Neurospora crassa OR74A: one gene and its partner. The protein of the gene in region 2 interacts with the protein of the main gene of each other region in a pairwise test. Links are inferred from orthologs where the notes say so. Each region holds a gene or a part of one and is shown on either strand. Other genes may lie near its edges. The genes, in order: mus-40 and NCU02036.

Region 1 (3,921 bases), about 1.2 Mb from region 2:
TGTACTGGCCTGGGATGACGACCAACCCTAAATGGCGCGAGGTGAGGTCGACTTTTACTTTTCCTGCTGAGGAGGAGGAGGAGGAGCTGGTGGCGCTCTCGTAGGCCTCTTGGGGAGTTGCTGAGAGAGAAGGATCTGAGTCTGAAGGTGCAGAGAGTGCAGAGGAGGAGGTGATTGTCGTGCCGGTGGGGGTGGGGGTAACAGAAGAAGAGGAAGTAACGGCGGCGGCCACTTGGGAAGAGGTGGGGAAGCGGTATTCGTAGGCTGAGTGGAGGATTATGTTGCTTTCCTGTTGATATGTGTGTGAGTGATTTGGTGAATATGGGACGGGGGAATTAGAGATGAAAAAAGAAGTAAGAAGGGGAGAAAGGGTAACAAGGGATGAATGGGAAGCTTACTGCATCAACACACTTGAACTGGCCCCAGAACATGCGGCCGTCAGTCACGGAGACTCGAAGGTTTTTGTTGAGGAGGGAGTTGAGCCAGTCTGTGGCGTCGTCCCTGTCTTCGGGGAGGAAAGTGATGTTTGGGTCTTCGCTCATGGTGAAGGATGTTATGTTATGTGAAAGTGGTGTACAGGTGAGGTGTTGTCGCCGGGGTGGTTTCGGTGAGTGAGCAAGCCGGGATAAAAGAGATGGATGCCTAATCGGTGAATGTCTGATGATGCTCGTATGCCGTGTGTGATGAATAACGGGTGTTGCTACTGAAAGAGCTTTCCAATTGTATTTTTGATCGAGCCAAGTAACCCCCGAACAAGTTGTAGAGCCCGTTGATGTGTTCAGCGCCCGCGCCGTCTTGAGCTCTGATGTTGACTTCTGTTGATGTTGTGTTCAGGGTTGAGGGAATGGGCTGTTTTTGTGTTGACCACTGCCAACCCTGGGCCCAAGCTTCTGTTCTCGGAAAGTGCATCATGGGGCAGGCATCCGGCTTATTGCATAAACAGACAGGCGATAAGCGATAAGAGTCAGCCGGCAGGCAGCAGCCGGATCGCCGTCAACATCATGGCTTCGATGATGAGCGTGAACTTGGCACTTTGTCATCACTGGAATTCTTCACGTCACCACTACAATACACTTCAATTGAATGTGATTGTTTACCTCTGACCTTTTCTATTACCATGAGTTTCCTCACACGACCAAAGTGAAAAACTGCACCTTATTCGGTCATTATAACTATCTCTTTGCCCTGGCGTCACTCCCCGTTAGCGTGTTTGTGCCGACTAACAGCGCCCTTCGTTGAGCACCTTGACGACCTCTTCTACATCAACATCACCACCACTACCATCACTGCCATCACCACCATCACTACTACCAATACCGAGTCACAATACCGAGTAAACACCCACCATGGGTGTGAATGGCCTCTGGACCGTCCTCCAACCCTGTGCCCGCCCAACCAACCTCTCCACCCTCAACCGCAAACGCCTCGCCATCGACGCCTCCATCTGGATCTACCAATTCCTCAAAGCCGTCCGCGACAAAGAAGGCAACGCCCTTCGCAACAGTCACGTCGTCGGTTTTTTCCGTCGAATATGTAAACTACTCTGGTACGGCATCAAGCCCGTCTTCGTCTTTGACGGCGGCGCCCCCGCTCTCAAGCGCGCCACCATCCAGGCTCGCCGGCGAAGACGAGAGGGCAGACGCGATGACGCCACGCGAACGGCAGGGAAATTACTAGCGGTGCAGATGCATCGTATGGCAGAGGAGGAAGACGAACGGAGGCGCAAAAGGGCAGAGGCACGAGAAGGCAATAAAACGGCGGCAGCAGCAGCAGCAGCAGAAGAAGAAGAACAGGAAGTACTGCCCGACATGGACAAAGTCGTTTACGCCGACGAATTAGGCATGTCAAAACAAGAACGCCAAAAGTCTCGACGCTTCCACAAGCAAGACGCCTACCATCTTCCTGACCTCGACGGCGGCATCGAAGCCATGGGCAAGCCGGATGATCCGCGCATCATGTCTGTCGAAGAACTCGAAGAGTACGCTAGGCAGTTTGAGAACGGGGAGGATATCAACTTGTACGATTTCAGCAAGATCGACTTTGATGGCGAGTTCTTCAAGTCTTTGCCGCCGGCTGATCGGTACAACATCTTGAATGCGGCGAGGTTGCGGAGCAGATTGAGAATGGGGTTGAGTAAAGAGCAGTTGGACGTCATGTTCCCTAACCGGATGGATTTCAGCCGGTTTCAGATTGAGAGAGTCAAGGAGAGGAATCACTTGACGCAGAGACTGATGTACGAGATGGGCATGACGGGATTGGATCTGACGCTGGCAGTCAACGCGACGAGAGTGGCGGGCGATCAGAATAGGGAGTATATCCTGGTCAAGAATGAAGGTGCCGAAGGCGGATATGCGCTGGGAGTCGTGAGTACAGAGAAGGATAAAGGACAGATGACCAATCCAATTGATGTGGACGAACTCGAGTTTCAGTTTCAGGGCAAGGGAGAGGAAGAGGAGGATTCGGAAGAGGATGTCGAGTTCGAGGACGTGCCAATTGAGGGGTTGAATCGGTTGCCCAAGCTGACTAGGGCTGCTGGTTACAGGCCGAGGGGGACTGCGAATTCGAGGAGGCAGTTCTACGAGCCGAGACAGAGTGAAGAGGCGGAGGACGAGGACGAAGATGACGAGGCCTTGTTTGTTGACAACGGACAAGATGCCGTCTATGGAGAGGAGAATGCGGTCGAAGCTGATGAGGAAGAAGACCTCAACAAGGCTATTGCCATGTCTCTTCAGAATCAGCATGGTGTTGGTCTATCAGAAGAGAAGGAGGATGAGGATATGGAGTTCGAAGAGGTTACTCCGCCAGAGTGGACGCAGAAAGCGGTGGAAGCGCCCAAGCCCATTGTTAGTACCAGTGGTCGCATGGTCGCACACATTGTCAACAACAGGGCGAGTGCTGCCGTCCCAAGGCGAAGGGAGAGTACCGACAGCAGTGACAGCGAGGGGGATATTCGAGCAGCCATGGCCGCTGCCAGGAGGAAGCAAGCAAAGGCTCCAGCGCCAAAGCCAGTGGTCGAAAACCGCCCTGCTCCTACCAACACTCCCTTTAAAGGTCCCCTTCCATTTGAGAAGCTGAACTGGAAGCAACTGCTTGGGGGCAACCGACCGAAAGCAAAATCTCAGAAGGAAAAGGTGTCTGAACCGCCCAAGCCAGTTGAAACTGGTGAGATGGAACCTCAGTCTGATGACGATGCTGGCGGTTTTGAGAAAGAGCCGAAGGATGCTCCTCGTCCACTACCGCCATGGCTAGCGAATAACGACGAAGACATTCGCGACACTGTACGGAAGCAGCGAGAACAGGACAGGCAGATGGCTGAGGAGGATGAAAACTTGGCTCGAGAAGAGCAGGCCAGAATTCGAAAGCAACGAGAGGATGAGGTCATGATGATTGAGTCATCCGATGAAAGTGATGGTGATTTGGAGATCCTCGATGCTCCTCCATCGCCCAAGAAGCTCACTCAGATGCCGGGGCCTAGCTTGCCTTCTTTGGACGACGAAGTGTCGCAAGAGCCAGTTGAAACCAGCCGTCAATCACCCTCCCCTAATGAGGAAGAAGGCGACGACATTGTGTTTGAAGACGTAACCCTTCCGTCTCAAACCATGACCCTCTCCTTCGGACCACCCGCAACTCAAGCCGAAGAAGACGCCCAGATCGAAGCAGACCTCTTCAAAGACGTCCTTCCTCCACCTGCCCAACAGGAACGAGTTGAAGGTTTGGCGGCGGTTCCAGACGATACCACCACTGACATCGTTCCCGACCCCGACGCCCCCGCCCTCTCCGAATTCGAAGACGACTTCAGCGACCCCGAAGAACAAGAACTCCTCGCTTCCCTCGCCCAAGAAGCCGAAGAACACGCCCGCTTCGCCACTCAACTCAACCACAAAACCTTTCAAGAAAACCAAGCCGCCTACGAACAAGAAC
Region 2 (2,824 bases):
GGTGTCGAGGAGATGTACGTCCTTCTCGTGATTCTTCTGCATGCGGACGAACAAACTCTGGTCGTAGCCGTACCGTGCAGCGGACTGCGAGAGAACGGTAGGTGGTAACTGCTTAGGATCACCGACAAGAATGCACTTGGAGCATCCGTACTTCAGGGGAATGAGCGCACTGAGCTCCACACACTGCGCCGCCTCATCGATGATGACCGTCTCAAACTCCACGTTCAAGTTCTTGAACATCTCGTGACCGCTACCGCTGAGAGTGGCGCACAGCACCTGAGCCTTGTCCAGAATCTCCTGCTGGACCTGTCGGCGTTTGATTTCGGTCTCTCTAGCAAATGTGTTGCCGCTAGCTTTATCCGCATCGATGCGCGCTCCGATGTGCGCCTGGCGCCGCTTGAGTTCGTCGAACTCCCGCTGATATTTGTTGACCAGCTGCCTGTCGTCAATCGTGCGCGCTGCTTCCAGTTGAGGTCTGAGTTCGGCAATCTTCTGCTTGATCTCGCCCGCTTCTTGGTGCAGCTTCTCCCGGTCAGTCGGGCCTTCATCCTTGTTCAACTGAGCCTCGAGTTTCGCCTTGACCAGCTCATCAAGCGTGACATCCTTGACTGCGCTGTTGATGGCATCACTGCGACCGAGACGGACCACCTCAATTTGGTGAGTTGTTCCGTTCTGGGTCTTGACACCATTCTTCAAGCGCAACACCAATTCGTCCACAGCGGCATTACTGGGCGCGCAAACAAGCAGCTTCTTTGCTGGAGCGTTGTTCTTCGCAGCTCCGAGTCCCGGACGCCCAATGGCCACCCCAGCGGTAGGGTTTTTGAGCACGCCGGTCAGAAGACAGCCAACCATTGCCACAATGGTCTTAGTTTTACCGGTACCTGGAGGACCCTGGATAAGGGTGAACCCATCGTTCTCCTTGGCGTTCAGGATCGCCTTCGCTTGACCTGGGTTAAGATTCCAGTTTTTCATGGTGTTCTTGATGTTCTCCTCGCCAAAAGACAGCATAGGAGACGGTTCAGCCCTCAATACCTCGTCCATAAGATCATAGTACTGTAAACTTTCCAGGGCGGCATACTCGCGTTCAATGGTCGTCATGTTGGTGATCTTGACAACGGTAAACTCCGAGCCAGGCAGTAGCGCAGGTAGAATTTGGTTCCCTTTGGCATTCAGGCGGTAGACGACCTCCACATTGTCTTTTTTGTAAGTTGTCTTCCAGATACGCGAAAGACAGTGTAGCTCTTCTGGCTCTTGAAGCGGGTTTTGGCCCTTGGAAATGATGACAATATCTCCTTCAGACAATTGACGGTCTTTGTTGATTGCAACTGGAACCGACGCCGTAACTTCCATGAACTTGTCGACTGTCATGCGACTAAGTACCTTGATGCCAAAGGGCTTGGACGTGGTTTCATCCTTGGCTGTGACAAACGAGCGCCAGGCTTCATTGATGAGCAACGGAAAGAAGGTTTGCTTGTAGCTGACCGGGTCCTGGTAGGTATCCGAGACGTGATCACAACGGTACCCGTTCGGCGGATCGTTACCTTCGTGGAAGATGTCCCACTCCAAGATGGCCTGGTGCAACACATCCATAGGGGGAATAAGGCGAGCGCGCATATCCTTGGCGGACCGCTCGATCTTGACCTTCTTCACCGGTCCGCGCATCTTCTCAGCCAACAACCGATGGGCGCGACGCTCGGCCTCAGTCATATTCTTCTTTCCAGCGGCATGGAGTGTGATCAACTCGTCATCGTCAGACTCATCTTCGTCTTCCGATGATGAACCAACCATGATCTCATCCTTCAGCACTGGGGCGTGGTCTTTGCCACGAACTCCAGCAACACCAGCCAGACCTGAGCCTTCTCCCTGGACCAGCTTCGGTGGCGCACGCAGGGCCTTTGCCCTCGCGATGGCCTCAGCATCTCGCTTGGCCTTGGCTTCTCGCTCAAGCCGCCTAGCCTCCTTGATCTTGTCGGCAGCCTTTGAGTCGATTTTGGGAGGAGCCTTGGCTGGAGCCTCAGCCTTCATCGTCTCCAACAGAGCATTCTTCCGCCTCTCAGTGGCCTTCTCAAAGGCAGGCGTAAGCGAGGCAATGTGGTCTTTGAGTGATGCCTTTGAGAAATCAAGCTTTGCCTGTTTCATAACCGGCTTGACCTCCTGCTTCACAGGCTTTCCACCAACGAACTGCGCTTCGATGGCAGCATCGTCCCCGAGCGCCTTGAGTAGCTCGATCCGTTGCTCGTTGGTGAGATTCGTCTTTATGGGGTAGTCCGTTCGCCCATCAGTCATCTTCCTCTTCTTCAGCATATTGTTGAGATAGGCGACTGTTTTTGGCGGAAGATCCATGCCGTTGTCTTGCAGACGCTTGATCAACTTCTTGGTGATTTCGATAATACCGGCGATAAGATATTTATCGCGGAGTTGCAACATGTCCACTAAGGGAAGCGAGTGTATTCTCGGCGGCTCCAGGACCAACTTCATGCCCTCTGAGCCGTCGTCACCGTTTGTCGCCGAGATGCTTTGAGGACTGCTAAGTGCCGAAGCCATGAGACCGTCTTGGGCGAGGAGCTTCTCTGCAAGTTCCATCACATCACGACAAAAGTCCTCCATGACTTTCTTGTCCACCTTCACGTGCCAGAGTCTCATGGATCCGAACGAGTGGCCGACGGCTCTCCATTCGCAATCCCACCATCCCTTGACGATAGCATGTTCCGCAGGGGTCAGGGTCTTGCGTCTGAGTTGACCTACAGACGGATCACTTAAGCTATTGAGCACGAATTCACAGCATTTCAACAAGTGTTGCATGTGACTCCACGGATTATTGGAG

What was found.
Region 1: the proteins of NCU02036 (region 2) and mus-40 interact in binary tests that used the Saccharomyces cerevisiae proteins (3 or more experiments, as listed by UniProt). The link is inferred for Neurospora crassa OR74A from reciprocal best matches to the Saccharomyces cerevisiae genes SEN1 and RAD2.

The regions. Positions count from the first base shown.
Region 1 is NC_026501.1:403,428-407,348, reverse strand, and holds the start of mus-40 (DNA excision repair protein Rad2), read left to right. Parts: upstream 1-1,050; 5' UTR 1,051-1,346; coding exon 1,347-3,921. Other genes in the region: NCU07497 (hypothetical protein), read right to left, coding at 1-289, 399-542. UniProt on the Saccharomyces cerevisiae protein: Single-stranded DNA endonuclease involved in excision repair of DNA damaged with UV light, bulky adducts, or cross-linking agents. Essential for the incision step of excision-repair.
Region 2 is NC_026501.1:1,602,176-1,604,999, forward strand, and holds part of NCU02036 (tRNA-splicing endonuclease), read right to left. Parts: coding exon 1-2,824. UniProt on the Saccharomyces cerevisiae protein: ATP-dependent 5'->3' DNA/RNA helicase required for the expression and maturation of diverse classes of non-protein-coding RNAs like precursor tRNAs, rRNAs and small nuclear (snRNA) and nucleolar (snoRNA) RNAs.